4 linked regions of the Schizosaccharomyces pombe genome follow. Each later gene encodes a partner of the first gene's protein in a complex. Each region holds a gene or a part of one and is shown in the gene's direction. Other genes may lie near its edges. The genes, in order: mrpl7, mrpl17, mrpl38 and rml2.

What was found.
Region 2: mrpl7 (region 1) and mrpl17 share a complex: the UniProt entries of both Schizosaccharomyces pombe proteins name them as parts of the mitochondrial large ribosomal subunit.
Region 3: mrpl7 (region 1) and mrpl38 share a complex: the UniProt entries of both Schizosaccharomyces pombe proteins name them as parts of the mitochondrial large ribosomal subunit.
Region 4: mrpl7 (region 1) and rml2 share a complex: the UniProt entries of both Schizosaccharomyces pombe proteins name them as parts of the mitochondrial large ribosomal subunit.

The regions. Positions count from the first base shown.
Region 1 is NC_003423.3:1,735,064-1,743,361, forward strand, and holds mrpl7 (mitochondrial 54S ribosomal protein uL5m), read left to right. Parts: upstream 1-3,578; 5' UTR 3,579-3,914; coding exon 3,915-4,778; 3' UTR 4,779-5,034; downstream 5,035-8,298. Other genes in the region: ebs1 (EST1 family protein), read left to right, coding at 1-1,966; MAP kinase kinase kinase Byr2, read right to left, coding at 5,254-7,233. UniProt on the Schizosaccharomyces pombe protein: Component of the mitochondrial ribosome (mitoribosome), a dedicated translation machinery responsible for the synthesis of mitochondrial genome-encoded proteins, including at least some of the essential transmembrane subunits of the mitochondrial respiratory chain.
Region 2 is NC_003421.2:2,121,398-2,129,656, reverse strand, and holds mrpl17 (mitochondrial 54S ribosomal protein mL46), read left to right. Parts: upstream 1-3,911; 5' UTR 3,912-3,996; coding exon 3,997-4,114; exon of another isoform or gene 4,115-4,208; coding exon 4,209-4,642; intron 4,643-4,790; coding exon 4,791-4,889; intron 4,890-4,956; coding exon 4,957-5,112; 3' UTR 5,113-5,524; downstream 5,525-8,259. Other genes in the region: ubiquitin-protein ligase E3 Asr1, read left to right, coding at 208-1,923; twf1 (twinfilin), read right to left, coding at 2,375-2,506, 2,549-2,667, 2,708-2,843, 2,899-3,027, 3,136-3,503, 3,567-3,644, 3,683-3,707; SAGA complex deubiquitinating submodule subunit Sgf73, read left to right, coding at 5,801-6,383, 6,455-6,906; pus1 (tRNA/U2 snRNA pseudouridine synthase Lsp1), read right to left, coding at 7,284-7,455, 7,495-7,850, 7,916-8,259. UniProt on the Schizosaccharomyces pombe protein: Component of the mitochondrial ribosome (mitoribosome), a dedicated translation machinery responsible for the synthesis of mitochondrial genome-encoded proteins, including at least some of the essential transmembrane subunits of the mitochondrial respiratory chain.
Region 3 is NC_003423.3:3,549,549-3,556,733, forward strand, and holds mrpl38 (putative mitochondrial ribosomal protein subunit L38), read left to right. Parts: upstream 1-1,795; 5' UTR 1,796-1,799; coding exon 1,800-1,841; intron 1,842-1,884; coding exon 1,885-1,942; intron 1,943-2,005; coding exon 2,006-2,286; 3' UTR 2,287-2,343; downstream 2,344-7,185. Other genes in the region: RNA-binding protein Cwf29, read right to left, coding at 1-238, 329-333; sorting nexin Snx3, read right to left, coding at 472-556, 637-833, 889-954, 1,004-1,087; SPOM_SPBC887.08 (uncharacterized protein), read left to right, coding at 2,570-2,695, 2,754-3,002; leucine-rich repeat protein Sog2, read right to left, coding at 3,274-5,934. UniProt on the Schizosaccharomyces pombe protein: Component of the mitochondrial ribosome (mitoribosome), a dedicated translation machinery responsible for the synthesis of mitochondrial genome-encoded proteins, including at least some of the essential transmembrane subunits of the mitochondrial respiratory chain.
Region 4 is NC_003421.2:694,328-702,324, forward strand, and holds rml2 (mitochondrial 54S ribosomal protein uL2m), read left to right. Parts: upstream 1-1,584; 5' UTR 1,585-1,594; coding exon 1,595-1,756; exon of another isoform or gene 1,757-1,780; intron 1,781-1,829; coding exon 1,830-2,756; 3' UTR 2,757-3,155; downstream 3,156-7,997. Other genes in the region: transcription factor TFIIIC subunit Sfc4, read right to left, coding at 1-518; RNA cap binding protein cbc3, read right to left, coding at 3,278-3,425, 3,548-3,800, 3,853-4,072; protein mug123, read left to right, coding at 4,711-5,418; TATA-binding protein-associated factor TAF6, read right to left, coding at 5,838-7,064, 7,223-7,354. UniProt on the Schizosaccharomyces pombe protein: Component of the mitochondrial ribosome (mitoribosome), a dedicated translation machinery responsible for the synthesis of mitochondrial genome-encoded proteins, including at least some of the essential transmembrane subunits of the mitochondrial respiratory chain.

The DNA.
Region 1 (8,298 bases):
GCTTGCTGCTCTTTTTTCCTCCATATTTGAAGATTCTTGTTTGGAAGTTGACTCTGTGAAAAGATTACTTTCAGGCTCTCCATCATCCTCTTCTTCTCCATTAAAGAAAGACTCTTCTTCTAATTCACTCACTTACGAACCTGCATTAACTGATCATAAACCACAGTATTTGGTTCTTTGTGTGTATAGGTCTTTGATTTACATTGGCGATGTCCACCGTTACTTGGCTGAGGTTCGTTCTCCAAACGTACCTGATTATCAAGTTTCCCGTAGATACTATGTTATGGCTGCTAACGTAGCACCCGATTATGGTGTTCATTTTCACCAACTTGGGCTAATCGAAGTTGCCGATGCTCGATCTTCATCCAGAAAGTCGTCCTCTGGCCAGAGCAGTTCCCTGAAGGGTAACGTTAATGTAGAGGATAAACGTCTCATTCAAGCTTTACCTGCTATTTCTTTTTTCTTTTTGTCATCCATATCCCCTAACAATGTTGCGGCCTCATCGGCTAAGACTAGTTTATTTATTGCTTTGAAGCGTTGCTTCGGCAAAACTAATGATGGTTCGAATCCCTGTTTATATCATAAGGAATCCTCTGCCATTTCCCTGTTTTTGCGTCTGTATGCAATTGCTTTTAGTAATACTGATGCCGACTACATACAAGACTCTGGTCCTTTATTCAAACGAGTTCGATTTCTTCTTTCTGAGTCACTTAAAAGCGGCTTGTTTTCAGAATCCTCTTTATTACAGATGACATATTGTGCATTGGCTGCAAGGGTTTTAGCTCCATTTATTGGCTTTAGTGATTCTGGAGAACACGGTGAGTCGTATCCGAATTTAAAGCTTGCTACACAAACTACAACTATGTTTTTTGAAGTCCTTTCTGATTCAGTGAATAGCCAGCTTCCTTTACAAGCTCTTACCTCTGGTGTGTCGAGTAAGAAGGACGGTAATTTTGATGATCTAGTCGAACGTCGTCAATATGGATCTCTGTCTTCAAATGCTGTACTTATGCCAATGCTTCTACCTTTGTGTGTTTTGACTTCTTCGTGTTTGCAAAATGGGGACGTCTGGCTTACTAAAGATATTCGAACTGGACTTTCACAGATATTCAATCGTTTAAGCTTCTTTTTGGAGAACACAAATCAAACAGCTCCCGACGACTCTGTTCTTGTACGCTGTTCTTCTAAAAGTATCGGCCTGCTATTCTTTTTCCCTCTTGTTAAGGTTTGTGGAGTTCCTCGTGATACTTTACAGTGGCTTTACTTTTCAAATCATTATCCTTTTAATGAGGAAGGTAAAGGTCCCCAAGTTGATGATTCTGACGCACTGATAACAATTGCGTTAGATTCTTTGTATGTGTTACTGAATATGCGAGCGAAAAGTACACCAAATAGCACATCTTTTTCTTCGCCTCCAACACCCCACAGATCTCCATTTAGCGGACAGGCTTTTACTGGAATGGGATTATCGAATTATTCACTAATGTCCTCATCTTCTTTTCCATCTGCTCAATCTTCTCCTACATCTCCTTTTTTATCTGGAACACCATCCATAGCTAATCAGTCATCTAGTATTGCAAGTCTGCAATTTGGGAGGATGGTGGATAGCCTCGTTGGACCTGTTCAACCTATACCTGCTCAAACTACCGGGTGCTCTGTTCATTCATTACAACAACGCACGTTTTCAAATGAGAGTCCTAGAGCTGTCGATTCTGGTTTTAGTAGGACTAGCACACCATTTAGTGAAAGTACTAGTTCTTATCCTTTAGTGTCTGGGAATCTCAGTTCTTGTGAGACACACTTGAACGGATCTCCGCAAAACGGACATTTACAAGGTGAACGTGTTTTATTCCGCCCATTGAGAAGCCCTGCTTTAAACACATTTTCTACGCCTGCTACGGAACCTCCGGAACATTTGGTTTTGTCTGAGCTATTAAAGAAAATGGTTAACATCAGCAATAATTAAACTGTATTGTTGATTGTAATGTTTCATTAAAAATTCTGAAGTTTGTTAGAAGCAGTCAATTAACTTTGCTGCCAACAACGAACAAATTTCTTGCTTTATTTCTCACGAAGTGAAATAACCCAAAATAATGTATCACGGATTTCTTTGTTTATACACTGTGCTTACGAATTAGAAATGGTTCTTCACTTGCCTAAAGAAAGGCTTTGACTTTTATATAAGTATGAATAGTCATCAAATGGCCTAAAGTGTACGGGTATTCACGACACTTAAATTAAAATATGGTCGATGGGAAAATAAAACGTTGTTTAGTTATCATAGCGCTGTTCTGGTTTGACCTAAACACAAGCAATTAAGGCGCTTCCCAATGTTACAATATATATCATAGAATGGGTTAATTGTTTACATAGGACTGCGTTGAATTCTTTAAATAGAATCTTTAGCCTCGAATTATGAAGTTATCTGACTTGTTGGATATCCTCAGCTTGCCAATTGATTGATAATAAGCATATGAGCTTGGACAGTGAATATTCAATATTTGGTTACTCAGTGCAATTTGTTTTGTGATTCTAAGCAGAAATGCTCTTTATAAACATTTACTGCACTATCTTGAGTTTCTAGAGCTTGTTCTGTATCCAAATTGTAATGACTGGCGATTCTCAAGTGCCAGATCTTATACCTCTTTTTATGTCTTTACCAGACGTTATCGTAATGCCTGGACACAAAACTAAAGTGTAAATTTGTCTTTCCTATGAAATGCTTGGTTTTTCATTAAAGTGTTACGAATTCGAAACATATATCTATGATTTTTGAGTATACACTGGCGGTATCTGTTGTTTAAGATAATTTAGTTTTGAGTTATTCGAGGCAATCAATTTCTTATCAAGTGTGATTCTCTTTTTAGAAAACCAAACTAAAAGTAAATCTATTGATCTTTTCAAGTATTAAGACAACTTGTTTTCTTTTGGATAAAATGCTTTTATTGTTGCATAATAGATTGATAAAGGTACGAAATGTATAAATGCATTATTTTATGTTGAGTACTTTACTCTTTCAGGATTGTGTTTGAGCTAAGCTTCTTGCATCTCTCATTCATCATCACACATCTATATTGAAAGGAAAGAAGGTAAAAAACGAACAAGAACAAAGTGAATACAAAAGAACGAATTGGATTAGTATTGTTATTGCATGAAAGTGATCTTATGACATGCATCACTATCCTATCCAAATAGTTTGTAGAGCCAGTTAGTAATAATACTTTCCAATAATTTGAATATGTGTGGCATGCCATTTGGCACGATTTTGAGAAATACAAAAATAAAATCATCTTGTAAAAGAAGAGCAATTAGCTGCTTTTTTATGTACCAGCTGAAGGAAAAACATTTGTTTTTCGACGTATAAAAAAAAACAGAAAGACATCAGCTTAAAGCTTTAAAGCTAACTTGTTTAAATAAGTTTGTAAGTTACAAGTACAATACTTTCTATTACACTTGGCACTCAAAATCGTGTGGCATATGATTATAACGATGCCTCGGATTTCCTTACTTGGCACTAGGTAATACGGTACACTAACCATGACAATACACTAGACAAACGCGAGCAATCTTCCAGCCCTAGTACCTAAGATCCATTGCAAAATTGTTTTGGTTGCGAGACTTACCTGTTTTATCCATAACCATTTGTTAAAACCTTCCTTTGAAGATTTGAGAAACAGGTATCATTTGTGGACATTGGTCTTTACAATTTCCTTGTTTCGTGATTATAAATATTTTTTCCCGGATTTGTGTTATTTACTATAATTTATTGGTAAATTATAACACAAGTGCTCATCTGCTTATAAAGCAAAAGGATTTTCACGAAAATTCCCTAGAAAGTAACCTGTTGTATTTTTGTCGCTTTTGGTTTCTCTTTGTCATTATACTTGTTTTAATTCATTTTTTAATTTTTAACAATGCTTGGGATAAGAAAAAATATCAGAATATCAGTTAACTTTCTGCAGCGAAGAACCATCACTGTAAAGCAAAAACTGGGCAAGAATAGGCCCCTACCAGGATGGGATCCAAATTCTGAGTATTTTCGTCCAGGACCCACCATGTTAAATCGCTTACAAGAACACTTGCATGATACCATTTTACCGGATGTATTAGCTGCTTCATATCGACATGACATAGATACAGCGTTAAGCACAGATGAACATACACAGAAAGACAGACTTCCAAGGTGGATTGGTGATAACCCTTATTATAAAAACCGGCCTCCTCAGAAAATGCGTGGTAATAAGCCTCTGTTACCAGTAAAGGAGTCCGTTAATCCTAAAAACCTTCCTTCTATTAGCAAAGTTGTCGTCAGCACTATGCATAAAGAAGCACTCGTTGACAAAACGCAGCTCTTGAGTACAATGATGGCATTTCGTTCTATAACGGGTTTGCAGCCCGAAATAGTCTATGCACGTAAGGACGTTTCTCCCTGGAAACTTCGTTCAGGTGTGCCAGTAGGTGTAAAGGTTACTCTAACTGGAGAATCTATGTATACATTTCTTTCAATCTTATCTGAGTTGGTTCTTCCTCAGCTTCATGATTTCAAGGGCCTGAGTCCTACAAGCGGAGATCAAACAGGAAACATATCTTTTGGTTTACCAAGTGAAGTCATGCCTTTATTTCCCCAAATTGAAGCTGTTTATGAGATGTATCCGCACTCTTTACCTGGATTTAACGTAAATATAACAACCAATTCCAAAGATACCCGTTTGGCTCGTTTTTTCGTCAGCAGTCTTATTCCATTTACAGATGGAAATAAGGAAGGCTATGTTGGATAGTAGACAATTTATTTTATATCTACTATACCTAATCTTTTCTCCTCAAGGAGTGAACAAAAAATCCCCTTCTCTACGACTAATGCATACATACGTTTTTGAGTTTTACTTGTTTAAGTGATAGAATTCCCGTAGATATGTGTTATTATATATTTATGTTATCGTTTTCACAAAGTAAATAAAAATAAAAAGTTTTTTCTTGAAAAGGAATAATCAATGGATATTTTTTAAACAAACTGAACATGTAAAATAGTATTTTTTTAGTAACTAAACTCATAATGGTATTTATCAAGGACATTCACAAAATCATTAAAAACATGAATATTGTAGAAAAATATAGCAACTTAAATCATACGGTTTATAGGTTAAATAAATTCATTAGTTCTAAATGGCATAAATGCAATGATAATGATGCAAAAAAACATAAAAAAGATAGATCGTAAAATAATGTTTCTGTTTTCATCATAACTTAGCCGGCTTATGAAACGAACGGGTGGCTCAACAACTCTGATGCTGTAGGTCTAAGATTACAATCTATGGCAAACGTTTTCTCAAGGAAATCTATGGCCGATGAAGAAATGTTAGAAGGGAATTCCGGCAGAATGTTCTCCCCAATTCTGAAAATGGCCTGCATTTGATCACAATTCGGATAAGGGTGCTTACTAGTGAGCATCTCGATTACCAAACATCCCAAAGACCAAATATCTGTTTTCTCCGTATGCATAGTTTGCTTCACCACTTCGGGAGCCATCCAAAAAGAAGAGCCTTGAAAAGAAGGGCGAGCACCACCCGTCTTCGTAGAGGTACTATTTAGTTCAAGTTTCTTCGATATCCCAAAGTCCGAAATTTTAATCTTCCCTTTATTATCAACCAAGATGTTCGCACCTTTTATATCACGGTGTACAATGCCGCGTGAATGAAGGTATTCTAAGCCTTTAAGGGTTTGCTTAATAAAGTTCTTGACTAGCGTTTCCTCAAAGCTTCCATACATTGTAAGCAATCCGGCAACCGACCCCCCAGGAACATATTCCAAAAAAATGTTCAAGTGGTCCGAATTTAAGTTAGAACCGAGATATTGGACAATATGCTCATGAGACAACTCCTGTAGAAGAGCAATTTCACCCGCTAATGCATCTAAAAGTTTGGCATGGCGGTCTTTTGATTCAGAAACAGAATCTAAGATCACTTGCTTAACAGCCATCAACTCACCACTAGATGCATTCATACCGAGATAAACTTGTCCAAACGATCCTGAACCTATTAACGCACCACGTATCCATTTGATAGACTGATCATCAGTGTCCTCTTCAAGTGTATTTGTGTCCTCACTTGTAGTGGAAGTTGGAGAAATTGGGGATGGTTGCTCAATAAATGATGGGGATGAACCAGGTGAAAAGGAAAGTACTTGATGGTTGCCATGCGCGCTTTCTGAAAAAACATTATACTTCGACGATTTTTCATTTCCGTTGGACTGGTATAAAGGTTCCACACCAACCATGGTTATGGATTTTTGAAGCGATGGTGGTCTAGAAATACGCTGAGTAGAAGATACAGTAAGTGGAGGATCAAATCCCCTATCAATCCTAGGAAGTCGGTTAACATCTTCAGCAACAGAAATCCTCAGAGAGGAAAGAGGACAAACCAATTCGGAAGGGCGAGCCCGCCGAGAGCTTCTTGGCAAAATTTCTTGACCAAAATTACCAAGATTGTGCCCTTGAGACGTACGTATGCTAAGGTTTCTACGAAGAGAGTTTGATATTGTTTTTTCCAGTAGCTTTGGTTGATGATCGGGGAAAAAATCGGAAATTCTAGAATTAATAAGCTCGCTAGGAGGTCGCTGGTAGGATTCAAATGGTTTCGCATTATTTGAGCGGACACTTCGTTTCTGAGTGCTCGTGGGAAGAACAGAGGAAAGTTTAGGAGAAAGGGAGGACTGTGATGATAATGCTGCCGGTTGAGCCAATTCAATCTCCCAAGAACGGCGGAGGTCTTCAAACGATGGACAAGGCTTTTCTTTTGGCACAATAATTAACCTGTCGCGTTCCGGTGAAGATGAATTAAAACAAATTTGTTTAAATTCTTCTTCAGTAATCAGCTTAATTCGACTACTCTGTGAAACGCATACAATGAATTTTGAAGCATCTTCAAGGCTAAACTTTTTCAAAGCAATAGCGAGTGTTTTCTGGTAATCTCCTCGTGATTGAACTGCTCGAGTTTGCCCGTTACAGGCAATAAACCTCAGTATACATGGACGTGGAAACTCTCGTAAATAGTCTCTTTGTTTTAAAAATTGTTTGCCTTTGGCGGTGTTTTCAATGCCTAGGTCTTTCAGTAAAGGCAAGGTTAAATGATTTAGGTGTCGTCCTTCAATGTTATTTTGTGAAAATTGTTCGATATACTTCTCCAATCCGATACTTTTCAACCATTCTGCTACCTCCTTCGAGGTATAATATTCCATAAATGCAGGAAAGTGGTTGTACAACGTATAACTTCTAAGTTCAAAGTTGGTAGCATTTACGTTTAACCTGCCTCCCTTAGTCTCGTGCTCTTTGACGTAACAATATAACTATACACTTTATAACCGATATTAGTTTCACTAAATCTCATTACCAAAATGAAGCTGCCAAAAAATTCGTAAAGGCTGCTTGTTTATATAGGTATTGCAATTCTCACCCGGCACAGATTCAGATATCTATTAAATAACACTTACGTACATATACGAGTTCCACAAGGAGTCTAAATATCGACGAGAAATTGTAATCAGATATTAAAATCTAAAACTTTCGTATAAACCATGTGTAGCAAGTGAATAATAATCTTTCTCTTTATCTGCAATACAAATGTCGTTAACCACCGTTCAGATACTACTGGTTTAAGGTACGAACGTAAAGTACTGTTTTAACAATTTCAATGTTTCAATCGGTTTCAGAGGACGGCAAGAATCGCGCACTAAAATTAGCAACCCGCAAATGCGCATTCTGAAAGCGATTTTTGGTTTGTAACACAATCACGACGGATCGTACAGATCTTTCAAAAAAATCAAAATTATAAGTGCCAAAAATATATGTGTGGGACTTCAATTTAAATTGTTTGATGTGACAATGGTTCGAACATAAAACCAAGCAATGTTTACCAAAACAAATTTCGAGATACGGTCGGCAATTCAACCATAACAATAATTTACAAATAATAATAAACGTCGGAAGCAAAAAAAACGGGAATGGAAGTGACTAGGGTTTAAAAGTTTCAAAAGAATGCATTGCGCGTAATTCATCAATCAGCGAGTTTAAAATGCAATCGTGGAAAAGTTCTATAAATGTGGTTTACATACAAAGGAAGGAATGAAGCCAGTTCTGTCATGTACAATTTGACAAAGATGAAATAGAGCCATCGAACGCGATGATTTTACGAATAGAAATTCCTCATCCAAACAAGCCGTGCCACATATAGTAAAACAAGACTTGGAATAAGTGTGACGTGAACCAAAAACCATCATGAACATAATAAACACAGTCAAGTTGGG
Region 2 (8,259 bases), on another chromosome or scaffold:
GTAGTACAGTGGAAATTGTTAATATACTTTACAAATCTCTCTCGTTTGCGTAACTTCAAAATAACGTTAGTAAACTCGTTAAACAAAATGTTGAACCCCTTAAAGAGCCAGTTTTCCTTCTCTCCTTCTACCATCACCTTCGTTGTATAACTACTGCTTTACGCCCCCACCACCAAATGCCCCGTTGTGGTTCCGGCCCCCACATTAATGAACGCTGAAGAAGATCCAAAGCCGGCAGATTCTGATAGCTCTGAAGAGTGTATCATCTGTCTTAGTAATTTACCAAATTGTCCCTTAGATCAATGGGATTCCAGTAGTGTTCCCGCTTCGATTTCGTCGACCTTGGATGGTCTTCGAATTGCGAAAATTCCTTGTGGACATTATTTTCACAACCACTGCTTGGAATCATGGTGCAGAGTTGCAAATACATGTCCTCTATGTAGAACGGAGTTTCTTAAAGTTGACGTACTTGAATTCGTGAAGGGACCCTGGTATCGTGCATACCCTGTGGAGGAGAAAACCCAAAGCGTTGCCAATGCTGGCGAGCCGTTTGAAGACGAAGGTTCCGAAACCTGTCGCTGTGTCATATGTGGCCGCTCTGATCATGCTGAGGTGCTTTTGTTGTGCGATGGGTGTGATGATGCATATCATACATATTGCTTAAACATGGATGCAGTACCTATAGAAGAGTTCTATTGCCCTAATTGTGTATTGTTAAACTATCAAGAAAATGAAACACTCTCTTCACGTATTTCTCTTTCTCGAAGAGGCCAGACAAGACGCAGAAGGGTAGGAGCAGCTGCTCGTGCCTCGCGAGTTTCTCAACAACAGCAGCGTGCATGGACACGTGCTTGGAATGCCATTAGAAATCGAGCTTGGGATGCATTGAATTCAGATCTCTCATATTATGGTATGCAACAAGAACGACTGCCTGCTCGTGACGTCTCGTCTGAACTTTTGCGACGTCGTATTGAGAGTGCACGTCTACGTTCCAACCAGCTCAATGAGCCAGTTGAGCAGCCACGAGTAGTGCAGACACCAGTAACGAATGCTTCTGAGCAGCAAGCATGGAATGATTTTGATGAAATTCTACATGCGAATTCATCGGTCCACTCCGTTGCCACTGAGGCTACCATTAGTAACCCACGACCTTCGTCGGGTCGATTTCAGCAAACGCCTATAGAAGAACATCATCAACAAGATACTCGATTTGTGAATGACCCAAATTCCACGAGTCACGACAGGAGGCAAAAGCGACCTACTCGTCGGCACATTCCTTGTTCTAATAAATCCTCAGGATCTTCTACAGTATTAGGCAATAATTCATCATCTAAATCAGAGAATTCTTTTCTCGCTAGTTTAATTAGCAACATCAACCAGCCAAGCACCTCACGAATAGATACTTCCTTTATGTTAAGTTTACAACATGAGATTAAGAATTCTCACTCTGAAGCTTCGGATGGAACTTCAGACGTTCACTTGACTCCTCTTTTCTCAAATCTCTCTCCTCGACCATCTCACGTACCGCTATCACCTAGGGAAATCAGTAATGATAATTTGGATGACCATTTGATTGAACTTTCGGAACCAGGAGAAATTGTGGATAATCATTTAGTTAATGATACGAGTATGCATCAACGACGCACTTCGGGCCGACATGATTTGGTGCATTCCAGCAAAAAAGTCTCTTATGAAACGAAGTATCGAATAGAACGGCTAGTTAACGCAGCTCTGAAGCCTTATTATCGAGAAGCAAAAATATCTAAAGATCAATTTGCTCTATTCAATAAGAATATCTGTCGATCTGTATACACTGCGTTATCGGATGGTACTCTGTCGCTTGAAGGACCTCAGCAACATAAAATAAGCAAGACAATACGGGAAAAGGTTGTTAACTGTATACAGTCTCTTTCAAATGACTGATTATGAGTTATGTATTTATGATAGGAGTTATGGTTTGGTGCATATGCTTTTAATATTATATCATATCTAATCTTTTGGAAATCAGAAAGTAACTTTTGAGGTCAATTACAATTTCCAAAAGAGTATTTATTTTGTTAATGAAGGATAGTGTTTCTTTAATGTTTGAACAATATATGTTTGCAAGATTAACACTCGTCAAGAATGGAGTCTTTAAGGATTTCGCTTTTAGAAAAGAGGAAACAATGTATAGATCTAGTGATTGTCTTATTCTATTTATTGAAGTATAACATTTTGCATTGCAAAGTGAGACCGTTAATATAGCATGCAACGTGTGCTCAATATAGGCGTTGGTAGTATATTTTGTTTTAATTCGAATTTGAAATGTCATGAAAAAGATTGATAAACTAAAAAGTCTGTAAATTTGAAACCGCAAAAAATTGTATATACTTGCTTAACGTCTTCTAGGGGGTCGAGGTCTCGAAAAACCAGTTTTGGTGGTGCTTGTTTCTGCTTGAGGACTTGATATCCCAGCAGCATGAAGAATTTCCTTTTCAGTTATATCAGCGGCATCATTCGATTCAATCTGTCATGTGAGCATAAAATCTACTACGAGGGATAAACATACCTTGCCATCAATAACAATACCCAATTCTGCTTTAATACTATCCAAAAGACCAAGTTTGGAAGAAGAATAAACCATTCGATGTTTGACAGTTGCTTGCATTGGACAAATGTATATAAACACTAGACCTTGTTAATAAAATGATCCTGCATCTGTACTTACAAATTTTTGAAGAGCCGTCTTTTGGCAGGGAATAGAAAGCGAAATTAGGTTCGGTGGAAGAAAAGAAGGATTTCACATCAGAAGGAGGTATATTTTGCTTTTCTTGACTTAAACTTATGACTTCTTTGTCAATAGACTTTTAAAGGAGGTTAGCAACACCATACATAGCAAAAGTATCATAGCTTCCTTACCAAAATAACAAGATTGTTTTCTGTAGATGATTTTAAATCAGAAAGAGCCTTTAAGGCTTTATCATCAATCGACATAGCAACACCACGGGTCACCAAAGGACGCTTATGAGTTACTGAGGATTGCATAGACTACATAGTTGTTAAAATAGATGCAAATAAAAGAGTAGAAGCTATAAATTCTACGAGCCACGGTAAAGAAGTATGAAAAATCCATCCACCCCAATACAGTTTACCTACCTCATTGTACTCTTTCCTTTCGAGTTCATCTTGTCGTAAAGGACTTTGGTCCTCTTGCTTGCTTAAGCTCTTCATAATTTGCTGATAATCTAACTCTTCCGGAGTACTTGCGAAATAAGACTCGTCGAGTTTAGCAAGAGTTACGCATCTTACAAATGCAGCACGACTAGAGGCATATAACATCTTCCTGCGAACATTCGCATTTTCAGGGACATAGGAAATTAATTGTAATAGATTTTTCTTGCTATCATCATAAACGAGGACAAATGCAGGTTCTTCAGATCCGAGCAAACATTCACGGACTTTCTTAAAATCAGATTCTATCGATTCTGATTTTTCAACCATTGTTTTCACGTCAAATGAATTCTCTAAATCATTTAGTAACTTCAACTAACTTAAAATTTACTCTTCTAGCCCGAATGGAAACTTACCATTAGAAATGCTAATAATGGCGGCGCGAACCGGTACCGAAGAGTACTCCTCGAGAAATTTACTGAACTTCTCTGTAGCTATCCACACGTTAGAAGAATTTAGCCAAATTTCTTACGTTTTAATTCGACGGAAGCAGACATTGTTATGGGGATTGAAAGGTTTACTGCGTCAGCAATTCCCCATTCTAAGTGAGTTAAATTGAATTATAACGAAATCCAAAGAAATCTATTAAAACATATTAACGATAGCAACAGAGTCTCTAAGAAATATTACAGTACTTAACGAAGCGTGTAATGTACGCTGGTAAAACAGGTGGTAGTGCTAGCCATAGCGAAACGTCGATTGCCTTTACCAAGTGGTCTTTACCGGATTAGTAAACAAAGCCGAAATTTGGAGATTTACTTGGCGTAAATTGACTAAGTTTAAACAATGTACTTGAAGAGAAATATTATAAATATGCAGAGGTCTTTTTCGCGTCAATTTCACATTTCTGTACGAAATTCCATTCAATCCTCTAAACCCTTGTCTAACTCGACTCCTCTAAAAGGTACAGAATTAAAAAATGAAAATGAATTATCTAGGGATATTAAATATAAATAAAAAAATTACCTTTGATGTACATGATTGCTAACATATCTTAGGTTGTTCAGTGGGTACAATTTTAATTAGATCGCCAATTCTTACTCGCCAACCATCCGAATTCGAAAAATCTATATATAAATATAATGCGGAACTTTGGAATGAGCTGAGTGATCCTTTACCTGCAGAATTTTATTTCAAGAAGGGATCGGTGGGTGAAAAAGATTGGCAAGAACGACAAAAAACACTAAAAGGTAAAGAATCACCCTTTGAGACGATATTTGGAAAGGAAAGGAAAGAGATGGAGTCTAACAAATTATTGGATTCTGCAACTCACTTGCAATCCAGAGTCACAGAAGCTGATACGAAAAACGATGAGCGAAGCACTCTTCGCTCGCTTGACAAGTCCCTTTACTTGTTGGTAAAAAAATCTAAAAGCTCGGGTTGGCAATTTCCTAACACTCCTGTTACAAGCTCCGAGAAGGCGCTGCATCTGGTAAGTACATTTTTTAAAATTCGATTCCAAGATACACAATATAGTGCAAGAGACTACTTACTATTGATTTGATGCTAAATAATTTATCAAATACTCTTGCAATTTTTGTTTACATAGTCTGCAGATTGGCCTTTCTAACAAACTGTAGTTATGTCAAGATCTTTTAAAAAATATATTAGACGAAAATTCGTTGACTTGGCTAGTTGCACGTCATCCATTAGCATTACTAAAAACGGAACAAGAAAAGGTAAGACTACGGATTTTTTGTTCTCATTTTATCTGGGTTGATTTTTTGTTTAACCAGTTATTTCTAGACCTTCTTGTTACGTGCTCGTTTATTAAATGGATTAGATGTACCTAACCTGCAAAACGTTTATGACTGGGTTTGGTGTACGTACGATGAACTGAAAAACAAACTTTCTCCTTCTTCATGGGATTCTGTAAAAAACATACTTTCCGATCGTTTGTAATCTTCAATTGAGCAAACAATATGTAAAATCTACGGAAAATAAACAGCGGAACATTTCATCTTGGAAATTCAATCTTTCTACAATCTTACTGCATTTTTCAGCTTAATTTTCACGTTTTCTATTTTTTTCTCTCCTTAATTTTTGATGTTTTGGTACGATGTAAAAAAAAACAAATAATTTTGGAATTTCACTAAGTATTTCTCCTTATTTATTCTATCTTTTTATTTGCAAATGATTCTGCCAGTATTTTATTTTCAGCCGCCTACTTTTGGAGTCCGGATTTCATGATTACTCACCCTCATGATCTGTGGATTCTTGGCAGTGTACGAGAAAACGGGAAAAGCGCGCACCTTAATAATAAACTATGTTTAGCTCAAGGGACCTAAAAAAATAGAATTGTTAATCAAAATTGATATCCGTAGTTTGTCCTCAATTCCAAGATCAAAAATTCTTTTGTCAGTCATAGTCTAGCCCTTAAAGACAATGTCTGTATAATTTAGTAATTATCAGAAATGATATGTGTCAGCATAATCCTTTGAAAGTTCATTAGAATGCAATTATAGACTTTGCTTTCTGGAAGCATTAAACCGTACATACACTTGACTTACAGATTTAGTCCCACTACAAAGGAATTGACAAAGGGCAACTTTGTAGAATTCTGTTTATAAACTCGGTTCTTATCAATAAAATGTTAACAGAACAACAGACTTTGGAGTTATTTCCAGAAAATTGGGAAAGAAATGAGCAAGTTTTGTTGAAATACCCGGATGGGTTACCCAAAGATGTACTCGCTGATCAAAGAGTTGATAATACAGAATCACAGGTAAAGGATGAAATAACTTCTAACATTACGAATCAAACTCAAATTTTACTACCTGCTGATTCCTTTCCTCAGTATGGGTCATATCCTAACAATTCAGAACTCGATTATGTTGTATGCACAAAATGCGACCGACCCTTCCTATCAGAGTATATTGAGGACCATCATAGCTCATGCAATGGAATTAAACCTCCTAAGCCTCAATTTGAGCCTGTTGCGAATTCTCAGGTTTTAAACAAAGATGTCAACAATGGCAATAATGCACCCATCAAAAATGGTGTTAAATCGACAGCTAAGGGCTCAGCTGGGAATCATGAAAAGAATTCAGTTAATGGTCAAAAGAATCCTGAAATGCCTCCAAAACGTCGGAAGACAGAAGAAAACAAAAAGCCTACAAAATCCGCCCTTCCCAAGAAAGAGGCTAGCAAGAAGAAGAATCCAAAGGTCAAAGGTATGTTGGTTTATGCTGTTCAATATGGAGAATGGAGTACCTGTTTACTTTAATACTAACATTCAATTAAGGTCCTGTGGATGTTGAAAAGCAATGCGGTGTTTTGCTTCCTAATGGGCAAATGTGCGCCAGATCTCTCACATGTAAAACGCATTCAATGTCAAGCAAACGAGCCGTTCCGGGAAGATCTCAGCCATACGATGTTTTGCTTGCAGCTTGTCAAAAGAAAAACCAAGTAAAAATACAACGACAAATCCTCGAAACTGCAAAAGAATCCGAAGATAATCAGCATCAAGCGCCTGTTGATTCTGATGAAGAAGTCAGTTTCATTATGAATGTTCTCCAGAAATCTGGCAATCAGCCTTTGGAGCAAAAAGTTTTTTTACCCGTAAAACGTCGCCATTCGTATTTTCGTACTAGAGAGTTAATAGCTGCTGCATTTCGACATGGTGAGCAGGGTATGCAAGTTACTGGTACTATATTGGGACGAGTGATTCCTTTTAGTGCCCGCCAACCACTATAAAGAAATTCTTTTGATTTTGCTTCGGTTGATGATTTAAATTCTTTATGAGATTATAGTTTACATTTTGGTCTACTTGACCACGCATTTTCGACTTTTTAATTTTCTCCTCCGTTCATCTAGTTTCTATTTCATTAATTTTTTCATTTTTTATTTTGTATATTGCACCATACGGTCTTAACATTTGGAATAATCAAGTAGAAGTTAATAAACTATAAAAATACCAATAGAACCCAAAACCAATAATCAATTCTAAAAAAAAGAAAGAAACAAGTATTCTCCAAAAATATATGTACACGTTTGTAGTCTAATTTTTTAAAAGAAACAGCAAAGTTTATGGTATCAGTTTGTTGCAAATCCTCAGTCTCACAATCAATCCTTTAGCCCTCTAAATCATCCTTGTTTTCAGCCGAATCTTCTTCTTCATCGCTAGAAAGAACATCAGGCAATTTTGAGGAAACCTCTTGCGTCTTTTCAGTAATGCCTATATCTGATAAATAACTGAAATCTTCTTCATTATAACTGTCAATAAAAGACAAAAAACAATGAAATCTAAACCGGTTAGTTAATTTAAGAAAAAAATATACTTACACTTGTTTACGAGCTTCTTCGAGAAAAATTTTATCATAAATATGAGCATGCTTAAAAGCAGTAATTTTTTGCTCGTACTTTGTAAAGTCGATAGGATCACGATTATTCTCTGGAGCTTTATGTTCATTATAACCTTTAAAAAACGGTGACTCTAATAAAAGTCCAAAACCAGGTCCCTTGGGTATGTTAATTTTTGTTTTTTTAAAGGCATCTTGTATGCGCTCAACAGGACAACCCGTTCGTACAACTAAAATAGCAAGCGCAATCATCTTTCTAATTTGGTGCAACATAAAAGATTGACCATGAACTTTACATGAAATCCATTCTGTATCGCCAATCATGAATGGATCAGATGCCTAGAATGTTAGAAACAAGACTTGTCAAGAATACTATAAATACAAAGAAGATAATTCTTACTTACAGTAAAAGAACGGATCACGCGATTACTATTCTTCTGATGAAATGCTTGCCCCACAGTAAAATTGTGAAAGTTATGAACTCCAACATATTGGTTTAAAGTTTCTCGAATAACGGACAGCCTATCTGCGGAAATACGGTAATTTTTTAATTTAAGTACTTCAATGTGCTTAAGTGCACGTTCGAGACGATAACTGGGATCAATCTTGGAACCAGCAGATTCGTCTTCAACAGAGTCAGGCTTTAAAAACTCGTTTACAATAGCAGAGGAATCGGAATCCATATCTGGATTAGTTTTAGCGGAAACTCCTGCTTCAGAGCCCTTATTATTTTCCGAATTAGCAAGAG
Region 3 (7,185 bases), 1.8 Mb from region 1:
ATCCTCATATTTTAGAAAGGCGAAGCCTTTCGATTTTCCGGTTTCTTTGTCGCGCACTAAATTAATATCCACTGGCTCGCCAAACTCAGAAAACACACATAAAATATCATCTTCGTTCAAATCAAAATCTAAGTTGCCGATGTAAATATATGCACTATCACTATAATCTTGGTGCCAAGAACTGCTAAAAGGTTTATCCAACTCTTGCTCGTTTAAACGCTCAATTTGACGAATGGAGCTACTTTTGTTAATTTTAAAATTAAAAAACGAAAACAGCGAAAAGATGAATCGGATTTTTGCTATATTTTAGCCTCAATAGAAAACTTACTTCATAACAACCTAAGGTATTTTAAATGGTAATTAAACTTTGTAACAGATTGATTTCCAAATTTTTCTTTTAAAATAAAAAAAAAGATTGACAAAAATTAACAGTTGGAGGGCAAAATGGAGAAAAACAAGTTAGCGGCGGGTTTATGGCGTAGGCTTGAATTCCGGGCTTTGTAAAAAAGAAGATAAAACACGAGAATGGGTTTGAATAAGAGGATGTCCAGCAACTCTACATAATAATGTATTAGTTTTTGTGCAATTTAAAACGCTCTTTGGGGCAATAAGGCAAAATTAACATTCAATACTTACAGTCGTAAAAAATTTTCCAAACCTTGTCTACGTTCTTCGATAACATCATCTCTAAATCTTTGAGTGAATATCTTTCCTGGAAGTGGTGGAATTGAAACACGACCGGACTCTCTTTCAAGCATATCGTGAAATTTCTCGAATTCGCTGTAACGTCGACGAACGCTAGAATTATGTAGACGAAAATAGGGCATATTGGTCTACAAAAATGAGTTAATAATCTGCTATCAGAAGATGAATTTCAGTGGTACCTACCCGACAAACAATTTCATAAGTAGTAAACATGTTTCTTCCAATACCGTGAGTTTGTGGATTTATAACCTAAAATAACATCTATTAGAAATATTTCGAAATAATAAAGTAAACATACATCAATTTCAAGGATGTTTTCAGGAACATCATACATTTGTTGAGTAGTTTGCTGCCTGATTTCCGGTCTACTTAATTTATCCATTTATTTACCCTTATTACTCTTAAGAGCGATATCCAATATTATTTTACTGTTTAACAAGTAATAGTTGAAATTTTGAAGAAGTTTAAAAGTTTCGATACAAGGTGTAGTGTCTAGCTCAGATACGGGTACGGCTAATGAGATTCATAATCGGATCGCAAATTAGTAAGGCGTTTACTGTAAACATATCGCAGAGCATTTTTTCAAACTGCGTCGTCTAAAGATGAGAATGATAGTTCATTTGCTTCCAAAAAATAAAATGGATTCACTAACGTCCAAATCCTCCTCTCACTTTCAACAAAATTAACGAGTAATACAAAATCAAATATGTAGCATACAATCCATTATGATATTTTAATATGATAAGAGCAATTGCTAGTCAATATCACATTTTTGCTTTAATGACTATTCCACAACTCCATGCATGATGAAGAATTTGATTAAAACATGTGTAACAAGCAAAACATCAGAAGGTTAAAGCAAGATAACAGGTTATGACAAACAATTTGCTTGGAATAATTTCATATTTGAATGCATCTAATCAAATCGCTTTTTTTTTAATACAAACAGTTGTTTTTATTTATATATTTTGCGATGTGTTACATACTACGATATGCCAACTAACGTCAAATACCAAATTCTAATATTACGCATAGTGTAATTTATAGTGGAAGCGAGTACGTGAATGTATGGTCAAGTACTTGAATCTTTAGCAATGATCGGACTTAAAGGTATACTCAAAGTTATCGACAATTCCGTAAGTTTAAAATATTACTATTTGTACTAATAAGATGGAAAAGGGTGCTACCTTAGCTGAGTGCATTCGTGTAGTTCGCGCGGGAAAATTCGCTTCACTTGGTAAGTAGCACGAAGTGATCTTTTGTTTATATTCGACTAACATCACCTTTTTTTAAAAAACAGGTGATGAAGTGGTAGTAGTGGTAAAAAAGGCACGAAGCGGTTCATCAGTTACTGCTGCTAATAAAGTTAAACGCGGTGATATCCACCATGCTATCATTGTTCGGACGAAATCACCAGTTCGAAGACCCGATGGTCGTTATGTTCGTTTTGATGATAATGCCTGCGTCTTGGTTAATAAGGAGTGTGAGCCTCTGGGAACCCGTATCTTGTCAGTCGTTGCCAACGAGCTCAGAACAAAACATCATACTAAAATAGCATCTCTTGCTCCACGAACCATCTGAAAAGGGTATTGTAATGTTAATATTTCACTTAATTAAAATATATTTTTTAATTTTCTATTCTACGTCTAATTAAGGGACCTTGTCTCTTCAGCAAACACTTTTTACCTGATAGCCAATTAAGATTTTGCTTTTTTGGAGTTTTGTTACTCGTAAGCATTGTGGGGTTAAAAGGTTTTTACTACACACTTTTTTAGTAAAATACAGCTGTAGCAGGCTTTATTATATAGTCCATTATCTGTTAAATATATCTGATCGATCAAAAGAATTTAATGTTCTAGTAAGAATGGATTTGCTGGCGATTGATTTGGATTTTGATGTTAGTGAGTCAAAGCTTGAACGGAATAAGCGATTAAAACAGAAAGTAAGCATTGAAACTGATGGATGGACTCCAAGAGTTCAATGTTTTGGTGTATGTTACTCATTTTTTACTCCCAATTTATTGTCTATGATTTTAACAGATTATTCAGCATCTTAGTAAAAATGGCGTCGTCCTCGGTGAAGAAGCCTATATTTTAGAGCAATCAAAATTTGCAGCGGAAGAACAATATTATCTGGGAAACTATTCCTTAGCTAAAAAGTTTGCATTTCAAGCACTTGATGTTCCAACTGATAGTTCCAGCATTGAGTACCACAGACTGAGTTCAGGCGAAATCAATGAAATTGAAGACATCATCAGAAGATGCGAAATGAAACTTGAAAATAAGCAAAGCAATTAATTAGAAAAAATTTTTGTCTTGTCAAAGAGTACCTACCCAAAACTACACACTCTGTCTAATTTTTGTACATGATTTTCATGTGGAAACAGATTAATCACTACTTGTACCATCATCCTTTACAATTTGTCCTTGGTTTTGTTATTTGAATAAGAAATAAATTAATCAAATTCAATCGTGCATCATTTTTTGTATCATTAAATTTATAGTCTTTGTAGGCTTTTGAGTTATCGAGTTACCAATTATTCCTCATCAATCTTCATTAAAAAATTCTTTAGCGCTGTAAACCTTCCACGTTCCCATCCGCGTCAGTAAAGTAATCGATTTTATTAGTACTATAGGCTGACGCCGGAATTGCAGCTGGTGACATGATTAGAGGAGATGTAATAGATTGAGCAGCCGAACCCAGAGCCGCTGACAACGGTGTTGCAGGTACGCGGGCTATTGGGGACATCAAAGGAACAGGAGTGGCTAAAGATGACTCAGTGTAATGTCGAGCAGAGGAAGAAAGTAAGATAGTAAGATCTTTTGTAGATCTTGTTGCAGCTGAAAGACCAGCTAATACGCTTTTTTGGAATGTATATTCACTGGATAACGCTTTCGCTAAATTTGCGACTGCAATAATAGACTTGACAAATGCTTGAGTGTCGTCCAAAAAAAGCTGCCATTCCAATTCTTCCGGATTCGTTTGAAAAGTTAGAAGGCGATGCTTAAGTTTTCTAGTAACATCACAGGCGGCGGCGGATAATGATCCCAATTCACGTAACTTACTAATCAAATTGGGTGCGATGTTTTCATTTACTAGATCAGGCTGGTTATTTTTAGGAACAGCATCAATTAGTAATGTCAAAACTGACATTGCACTGTTTGTTGCTAAAGCGACCTGATCTTGTATTTGTTTATCAATTTCAGGATTCATCACTGATGCTGGTTTTTCAACGCTAACGATTCTGTTCGTAAGCCCAGATGCAGTCCGGATCATACTTGTCGGAGATTGACGTACCTGATCGGCGAATATGTTATTACCACTATGGGGTTGTGATGGACTCAATGGTACCAAGGCGTTTTGTAACTCCTTTGCAGCATCGAAAAGAATTAGCAGTAAAAGCCGAACATATCGGACATCCGCACGACTAGTGAGCTCATTTAAAAATTTTTTTGTCACTTCAATTAGTTTACGAAACGAGCTGATACAAGACAATGAAGCGTTTACTATGGAATTAATGTTTGCAGTTCCATCATTGCTTTGTTGGGTATCCTCAAAGCACAGAATTAGCCGCTTAATTTGAACATTGGCAGTATGTAACACATGACGCATAGAATCTAAAACAACGGGGTTGCTGCAAAAAAGAAGTTGCTGACGAAGGGCTTGTTGGACTTGCGAAAGCGAAAACAATATGCCCCTAGACGACTCTAAAGTTTTTTCAAAGGCCGAGTGCTTCATTTCAACCTCACTCCCTCCAATGTTACTGAAGTAGCTGTTGACCGAGTCATTTGTCAAATTGGAGCCATTTTCATGCGTTTCTTCTTTTTTCAAACGAGGGGAAGGATGAGGATCTTGAGCAAAAATTCGATTTGGTAATTGCTCAGAAAGTTTGCGCGCTTCTTTAAGGGCTTCAAGACGATGTAAAACACTCGATGGAAGTCTAGTAGAAGAGTAATCATCATTTGTACTATTGCTTCTATTACGCTCTTTCTTGGCAACCTCAGGTAAACTTATGGCTGATGTTTTAGCACTCGCACTCAACTGCGTTGGAGCTGTTTTTAGAATCGATTGTGTGGAAGCAGCATCATTATTTGAGGGATTTTGATGTTGATCAGTGAATTCTGAAATTTGGTCTTGAATGGGGCTAGCGCCGTTAGTATTGTGAGTACGTTCTTGAACGTCTGCACTAGCGACGGAGGAATTGGTGAGTGAGCTTTGGGGTGAATGGTACAATGGTCCTGTAGCAGAAGAAGGTGGTTTTGAAACAGAAGGAGAATTGAGGCCAGTAGCTAAAGAAACTGACCTACGAGGACGGGCTTGTCTAGGCGACGCATCTAGATGAAATTTGTTTAATTGATTAAGTGATGGAGGATGAGTGCATCCATGAGCAACATTTGAATCATACAATGTTCCTTCTGAGTTCTCATTTGTCTTTGACAAAGTCGATTTGGGTGTGGACTGTTGATGCCCGGCAGGAGAATGTGAATGGGGACTTGGCGTGACAAACGTCAGCATGCCAGGTGAAACCGCATGGCTAGTATCTGATGGGGCACTAAATAAGTAAGAATCAACCACAGAGGAGTCATTTTCTTCCGAGTGACTAAGATTAGCTGAAGCGGATAAAGCAGCGGAAACAGTACTTTCACTTCGCGTTCTAAAGACTGATTCGTTTCGCGACAAATATCCCTTTATATTGGCAATAAACAACTGCATATCAGAATCTTGCAAGTCATTATTAGCGATATGCGGAGGAGGAAACACAATGTGATTGTTTTCAATTTTAAGAATTTCAAGATTCGGCATATGTGCAATGTAGGTGGGAAGCTCAAAAAGACGATTTTTAGAAATTGAAAGAACTTTAAGGTTCATTAAAGCTCCAAAGGATTCTGGCAGTTGCTTGATTTTATTGCGAGAAATGTCTAAAATTTCAAGTGACTCAAGTCGACACAAAGATTCGGGAAACTCTCTAAGGACATTCGATCTAATATTTAGGTACCGGAGACGAGTAAACTTTAGGATTTCAGGACCAATACTCTTTATAAAGTTATGGCCTAGCGCTAGTCTCGCTATCCGACCCTGGATTCTTTCCAATTGTTCATAAGGTAATTCCCGCAAGTTTAGATGAGATAGATCTAACGTAAGTGCATTTTCAGGACCCGCATCTTCTGCCTCTTTAATAATTCTTTCAATTTCTGAGTTTTTTGTGGAGGACACCTCATGAGCAGACATAGCATGAAAAGATCGATCACCTCAGACGTAAATCCGAAGGTTTTGTTGAAAAAAAAAGGAACTCTAAGAAGTAATAATTACTAAAAAAATGCAATGAACATAAAATTGATCCACAATGGTATGCTATAATGTACAAAAGTCAATTCCCCAAAATTTACTGCCAAGCTAGTTCGCGGAACGAATAAACTCACTTCTTTCTGTGTACGCATCTGTAGGTTGTACTTTTTTATTTTAACAACGTGAATAAGCACTTTTCCTTAAAATAATTACAGTTTATTAACGTTTACACAAAATATTTTCGTTAAGTTTGATATTGCGTTTTATTTTTTTTAGCTATGCAGTTCGTAATTATCATTAATGATATGTTAGACTACTTGATTTTCGTATGTGCACTACATAGCGGTACATATGGTTGTATGATAACGGGGGTTACGGATATCCTTGTATGAAGGCGGTAATGTAATTTATCTCTAAACAAACCACCACAGCTGAACTAAAGAACGTTGTTCCTTTGATTTTACATCTATCATTTCTAGCTAATAAATTAAAAAATTTATTAGTGGATCTACATCGTATTGTTATCATTTGTAAGACGATAGGTAATCAGAACATGTGACATATAGTAATTCGTAATTGTAATGTAGTATTGTTAGCATTCATTTCTAATTCTTGAATGATCAAAAGCACTCGCTATATTATGTTGGTTCGAACTTTTTGAGTTCATCGAGATCAGAAGTCGTTATTAACAGGAGCAACAAATGCTAACGCTACAGTATGTTTTGTGGTAAATAATTCTTTAAGTGTAAATTGATAACTTTTTGAATGAGTTGCAATTTTGTTGATTCAATATTTCTGTCATTTATCTATAGTTTGTTTATCAATTTGATTATCTTGGTGCGTTTGATTTCCTAATCATTAATATTTATTGTTTATTTTATTAGTCCTTAATATATTGCTTCCTAATAGAATCGCCTAGGTTTATCATTATGATTTAAGAACCTGATAAAAATAAATGAGTTGATAAATTGTACATATAATCAAACACGGTTTTTTTTTCTATGACTAAATGGGTTACTATCTAAAATAATTTTTTTTGGTTTCTCATTGAGAAATTGAAGCCTCATTATTTTTGAATTTCAAAAATATTGGTTTGTGTTGATTAAATCATTTAATCTGAGTCATTAAATATCCAAACCTGACAAGTAGTAATAGGACCATTAATGGTAGCCAACTAAGTATGGGTATAACGTT
Region 4 (7,997 bases), on another chromosome or scaffold:
AGCATTTTCCAAGCCGCAATGACATTATTATCAATACGAACAATCTCTTCAGCTAATTTTTGGGCTTCGTCGAAGTTTCCTTCTTGCGCAAACAAATGATTCGCTAAACTCAACATTTGTTGCACTTCCACCGAGGGAAGCATATCAGCTCGACTAACACGTCCTCGACCTTTATGACCTTTACGGACTTTTCTAAATCCAGCAACTGCCTTTAAATTTTCTTCCCATTCCTCGTTCGCAATGTCGTCCTCGGTTCTTGAGGCTGTTTTACTAAAGTTTGATTCATCGTCACTGCCTTCATAATCTGACTCTTCGTCTGACCAAAGGCCCTCAGCTTGAAGGGCAGAGGTATCTCCCAAAAATTTTGCATCAACTTCAGATACATTCCTAGCCTCATCGACAATTTCGCTTATATACCCGTTTAGATCTTGCATTTCAGCATCAAAGTTGTCAGTTGTATCATTTTGCGTTTCATTCATATTGGAATCCACATAGCTATTTCCACCATTTTGAATCATCCTTTAAGATGCTCAATCATGCTTTCAAATCGGTCTGTTCCTTTTGCCTACTTGAAGTTGGCTGTTTTCGCGTTGGCGTTGGTGAAGGCAAAGTTGAAGTAAGTCATTATAGAAGTACTCAATAAACAAAGAGGTCATGGGTACCACATATCTTGTTCTACAATTGACTAATTAATATGAAGTCAATAAATATTAGTCCTTTTTTCCTGACACCAGTTATTTTACTTGCAACATTTTTGAATTGCAAACTTGACAATTTTGATGTTGTCAAAATACCTAATATCTGTAAGAATTTGGAAGATCCTAGTCAATCAAATAGTGTTTTTCACTTTTTTTTTTGGAAAATGGCATCTCAAGGCTTTTCATGTTGATTGACCTTTGTCAGTGTACACAGAGTATAGTATCGAAACCTTTCATAAGCAAACTAATAAGCTATATTAAACAAACGCAGATCAACCCCATCTTCGAATTGTTTTGAAACGAAAATGAACGAGTTAACAAAACAAATTTCCATAGTTGAAACTTTTCGTTGAAACTGTATATTAAATAAGATTTTTTTGGTATGTGAACTTATTTAGTAATTAATTAAGCACACATCCAAAAAGGAATGTGAGAAGAGTTTTGTGAGAAAGCAATGTTTTCCTGATACCTTGAATCCCTTAAACTCTTCATGCTCAGCAGGCTTATTACAGGTGTCGTAAATTCTAGTTTAACTTTGCTCAACTCGAAGGAAAAGCAAATTCAATTTATCAAAATTTCCAATATATTATAACGTGGTTGAAATTCTCAGTTGACCTGCCATTACTTTCAAACGTATAGAATCGGGTTTACAATGTATAAAATATTTACTACACAGATGATCAAACAATAAAACAAAGTTCTTCATTATTATAGCTAATGTGTTCAATTTCCTCTATGTTGTATTCCCTAGATCAATGTTCATTTATTTACACAGTTAACGACACCTTGGATTGTGTAAAGATTTTAGCACTGAGCGTCGCAAATTATGATTGAACTCGTTAATTCGCAGTCCATCATATTGTGAGTTCTTACCATAGGTTTAGTTGGAAATCCCCATGTTGAGTTATAATCGATTTCGGGGGTATTTGATTCCTCAAATTCATGCGTTAAAGCTGTTCAGATATGCCTCTACCGCATCTACAAGCGGTGAAAAAATTGAATCTTCCGAGAGACCCTACGATGTAGGGATGCTTCTACGACCAAAAACGAAGTTCGAGGTATGTAATATTAACACGAGGGTTACTTTTTATTTATCAAGCCTTAATTCATTTTTTACTAATTCTTATCAAGATTAAAACTTACAAACCTATATCTCCTGGTCTTCGTCATTTAAAAAGACCAGTTAGTGATTACCTTTGGAAAGGGAAACCTTTTCGACCTTTGACCGTTGCAAAAAGAAAAAAAGGTGGAAGAAATGAAACAGGAAGAATTACTGTAAGGCATCAGGGTGGTGGACACAAACAACGTATTCGTCTTGTTGACTTTGAAAGAAAAGTACCGGGTGTTCATCGAGTGATTAGAATTGAGTATGACCCTGGTAGAAGTGGTCACATTGCCCTTGTTGAAAAATTGAATTCCGAAACAGCCAACAAAAGTTATATTTTGGCTTGTGACGGGCTTCGCGAAGGCGATACAGTTGAGAGCTTTCGATCGCTTTTGAAGACTGGTTCTAATGGCGAGCCAGTAGAAATGGACCCCGTCCTAGCTGCTGAAATTGAAGATGGAACTTTTGCAGCAAAAAATTTGAAGCCAGGAAATTGTTTTCCTCTCAGATTAATTCCTATAGGAACTGTCATTCATGCCATTGGTGTAAATCCAAATCAAAAGGCAAAGCTATGTCGTTCTGCTGGCAGTAGCGCTCGTATCATAGCTTTTGATGGTAAATATGCTATCGTTCGTCTACAAAGTGGTGAAGAGAGAAAGATTTTGGATACATCATTTGCTACCATTGGTGTTGTAAGCAATATTTATTGGCAACATCGCCAGCTTGGTAAAGCCGGTCGTTCACGTTGGCTTGGCATTCGTCCTACGGTTCGAGGTACAGCTATGAATCCATGTGACCATCCACATGGTGGTGGTGGTGGTAAAAGCATTGGTAATAAACCTTCTCAATCTCCTTGGGGTGTTTTGGCTAAAGGTGGATACAAAACAAGAAGAGGTAAAAATGTTAATAAATTACTCGTCCGCGATCGTCCTCGTGGAAAGGAAAAGCGGTAATCATTTTATTAATGATCTCTGTCTTCATGACTTTTACATTTCTATGTTTTACATTACCGTAATGCATTTCAATTTTCATGATCCCTTCTCCATTTTAATAGTCGATGCTATTACCTATCCATTTGTGGACCAGATGCATTTATGTATAGTTATTTTGTGTCGACCGTCATTTATCGACGAAAAATTTTAAGCATTTTTTAAGAGTTTAGCTCTTACAATTTAAATCTGTATTGGTAATTTTTGTTCATCACAACGTTGCTTAAAGCTAAGGACTATCCCATTCAAAATTGTCGTTTGCTTACATCTACCTTAAAAGGGTTATCGATATCATTCAGGTACCAAAAGAGTATTCTATTAAACGCAGAAAAGAACGGTTTTATTTTAATATGGCCAACTAAATAAAAAAATTTTATTTATAAAATTGTAGCTAATTTAGCATATTAATTTTTTCTTGCCTTCGTCCAGCGAAAAGCGACTTAAAAGCGGATAAACTGGGTATTTAATATTTCTCTACAACACAATTAACGCTTGGAAACCCTGGAACGACGGTCTCTCCTTGATTTGCGTGGCTTGCGTCGAACTTGGAATATTCTTTCCATCAGTGTAAGGTCAGACACTTTAGGACCTAGTCGTTCATCTAATGGCGAACCCCTTTCATCTTGATTTCTACTGTGCGAAAGTGTTAGTAATTTGAATATAAAATTGAGTAAAAGGAGATTCTCAAAAGTAGAGGAAATGATTTTTGAAAAGTATGAGTGCACCCGGACTAATTTGGTTTTCACAAGTTATACCTTTTAGATTTGCTCTTCTGAGCCTTTTCTTCTCGAGGATCACCGTGAAACAGATAATATCTCGAGTAAAGATGTGCGCTTTTAACCTTCTTGTCTCCGTAGCGGGCGTAACGTATTTTGAATTGACACGTCGGTACAGTTGGGTGTGGTTTCGTTTGATATTCCAATTCCTCTGAAAATTCTGTCGGAGACTCCATAATTAAATGAAATAAAGCATTTCGTGAAACATCATCATCCGCATAAACAACGTTGCCTATACGCGGTTATAGAGTTAGACTAACCCTTTGCCAGTTTTCGCTTCTTACATTCGTTATCATTAATCCATTCAATTGTACATTGAGATTCAGGAGCATAAGCTGAAATAAATCCTTTGACTTGTTCTTCTGAAAGATTATCGACGCCAGCTAGATGTAAAGCTGTTTTACGCAATGTAGTATCAGCCACCACTTCCGTTTCTAATGGAGTACTAGTGGCGTCGGGTATCAATGATTCTTCTTCAATCTGAGTCTCTGCAACGATATCCATTTAAATCTACTTCTCTACAACTGCTTCGCAGACATGCAGTTTCCAAAAGAGTGAATGTGCCGTCCAAAGAAAATTACGACGCGCTATAATTTGCTATACGAGAATAACGAGAGATGAAAGATCCCTATAGGCAATGTAATCGGTACAGTCTCCTATAATGAGTGAAGATCGGAAGTCAAATGTAATTTGTATTTAAAATTAAGAAGGAAAATGGAGATTAAATCGGCTTTTTGCATGTAAGGCTCGTTTGTGTAAGAATCTACAGTACGCTAAAGCACATTGAATTGCGTATTGTTATTTACAGAAATTTATGGGATATTACAGTAAAACCTAATAAGATTTACCTCTGGGACACCGTATGTTCGAGAATGAGACATGTAAACATAGCTTCCGCACATTTGCAATTTTCAGTACGAAACATTAATTCTTGCGCTTTTCAAAGATATATGAGCTTTGTTTAATTAGTTTTAGCTGATTGCTTAATCAAATAAAAGATTGTCTATCTTAACACCATTCGTTTTCTAATCCCGGCATTTGTCTGTGAAATTTTTAAAAATTAATTGGAATTACTCTACAAGCAACTTATTCAAAGAAGGAATAAATAGATAATAATCATTACTAGACAGAAGACTAATCGCATGGAACGTTTAGCTACTCGATCGAGCCATGATGATCCATATTCGAGGTCTTCCCTTCCAACTTCGAATGCCATTAATAGCAACCATGAGTCAAATGGTTCTACTTTTTCTTACGTACAGAGTTTACGCCGTGCAAAGGCGACTGTCTGGAGTGATATAGGCCGTGTGGCTCCTTTACACTCTAGCCCATCAATCAAAAGTTCATCACAAAATGGGAAGTCTTCCAGCAAAGGCTTAGGAGGCATGCGCTCAAGGGTATTTTCTAGCCAGCATCATGGTGTTTATCACACCCGTCCTGCTTCGCTTCATTCACGTACAATGGCTCCTCAGCACACCATTCTTACTCCACGATTATCTGCTACCGAAGGTAAGGATGACGATGAGGACGAATTGGTAATTTCGACATCGAATACTGCACCAACATATATCTCAATGATTGAGTCTTCACGTGCCAGCTCAACCCATAGTGGGACTGCACCTTCCATTATGGGAATGTCAATACATTCAAGAGCAGACTCCAGAGCCGAAACTACTCAATCAGACGGCTTTGAATCTCGTAGCGGATCACCTACTCATGATATTCAATCTTATCTTGTCAATCGACGAAGCAGCAGTTCTGAATCTTCAGACGAGGACAGTGCTGAAGAAGGAATGAAACGTCTAGTAATCACAAATATGGGGGACAATGATGAATTCGATAGCGATTAGTGCAGTTATTTTTCCATCGATATCTGATAAAGTATTATTATTTATTATGGTGCTATTCCCTCACCTAGTTTAATTGCTTTAATTCGTTTACTTTTATTCGCATTCTTTGGCATAATCAAGCATTCCTTCCCCTTTCTGTTCTATTACGTATTTCTTTCATTTAAAACCCGGCATTGTCAGCTAGTCTCACATCTTTAATCAAAACATGAAATAAACTATATCAATATTATCATCATTCTATTTTTATTCATTTGAAAGCTATTCGGTGCTTCCTGTTTTAATGTAACATGAATATCAATAACATTTTAATTATAGAACCTATAATGGTTTAGGTAGTGTGGAAAATTGGGTAAATATTTTAAAGTCCGAGATTCATAGATTAAATTGTTCAAAAACAAATATTTTATGCCCAACGAAGACTATTCTAGCAGACCAAGAAGCAATGAGGTATCGTTTTCCTTCATTATCTTTTCAGCCATTAAACTGCCAACGTTCTTCTCAAGAAGACCACTAGCATTTGGCGGAAGAGTTCGTTGATTTGGTAATTGATCATCCCGCAGTAATAGCAAAGCGTCGTACAAAGCATCCATACATTTATTGGCCTCGTAAATCTCCTCTTCATTTCCTTTTTCCAAGGTTTTCCGAACTAGGACTTCGTAAACTTTGATATTGGGAACGACGAGGACTCTAATAGCTTCTTTCCCCATAGTTTTTAAGCCTTTGATGGCACCATAATGAGTGGAATATGGCTTGGTGTTATCCAAAAATGCTTTGAGTGCCGTGCGAGTAACGCGAGGCTTTAATGTATAATACACATTACCAAATCGATCACAAACAATCCCGAGTAAAAAAGCAGCTAAGTCTCTTAGTGCATAATGCTCGTGATTATTAGGATCACTGCCAAGGCGCTTCGCGACCAAACAAGTAAGGATGGATGGCATGAGTTGTTGGACGTAAGGCTCTACAAAAAGGTTGGGGTTATCAAGAAGGGCCCAGGCCATGTGCATTAAAGTAGTAAGAACCACAAGATTTCCTAAGTTTCGAGTTACAGAATCCGATAAAAACATTATGAAGTATGGTAAAAGTTGGTGTAATCCGGGGTCGTCACGTAAACTCGATAGGGCAGCATCACGGAGCTCAACATTAGTTTCATCAAGCAATGCACTGGTAATACGCTCAAAATAAAGCTGTAACTCTTTGGATAGCACATGTCGCACCAACGGTTTTATCTCAACGTTGTCCATCGAAGTGACACCGTTTCGAGCTTCTTTAGCAGCAGTTGAAGCACCTGGCATAACCCCTGAAGTACCCTTGGATGCCCATTCTCCAACTGTGTGATCTGAGGGAGTTGGATTTTGAGGAATGGCTGGCTGCACACCTTCGATGGCCAGCCAGTGTGCACTGTAAGAAATGTTTCTAGGGACTTTAGGGAGAGGAGCGTTTATGATTTTTTCAAAATCCACTTCCTCATCATCAAGGTAGTAAAGGGAATTTTGGCCTGCACCTACAGCGGCTTCATGAAATTCTAATGGACGAGAATTATTGAAGCCGTATAACGGCTCAACATTCAACGTCCGTAACGCTGAAGAGATATCTGCGCTAGTTAAAACAGTTCTTTTAGAATGAACCATAAACTTAGTGGCTTCCTAAATCAAATACTGTTAGAGAATTATGTTTAATGTCAGAATAAAGCAGACTATCTAGCAAATTGAAAGGCATCGTAAAAAACTAGCAACAATTTTTTAGTTATTTTAGCCTCTTCCAAAGAAAGTAAAATCTCATAGTCTACTTTCACGAAACCTACCTGAACCACCTGATGAATTCTATATTCGAGATCCATTGCAATAGCTGCTGCTGGTTCATCGGCAAGATTGCCAATCCCAAGCATTTCAGCAACATCTTTGATGGATTCAATATTCCATACTGTCAAGGACATGACTTGGTAGTAAGATGAACGATTTATGGATCAATGAGTGAATTGCATCTGCAGAGAAGTAGTTAACGATGTTAGAAGCAACTGCTTTATTTAACATACTTGTCAGCAATACTACACTACGCTATAATACACTACGTTGCGTATCACTATATGTCACATGTTCTAATTATATATCGTACCATGTATGATACGATATGGAGATTGATCTTAATGATAATCTATTAAGATCTATATTATCTGAATACTATAAATAGAGCTACTGCTGAACCTCGTTCCTCAGTTCAGTTATGAGCTATATTAGTGATAGGTAACATTATAACCCAGTTAATACAATACCTATACTCAGTTGCTACTTATACAACCTGTGTATTGTAATATAATAGATCACAAGGAAAACTCACCGCAGTTCTACGTATCCTTAAATCAGATACCAAACTGCGTAGCTTACAAGACAGTGAGCTACACTAAAATCGCTATTAAACATTACGTTACGCATCAAAATACACTACATGGAATACCAATTAATCTCAATTTGTTGAACAATAGCAGAAGACTATATGTTTGTTTACTAAAACATCCATTGATATTGATATAAAATAGTAGTTAAAATTAGAAGTCTAGATTGAACAGAGCATCATTCTCA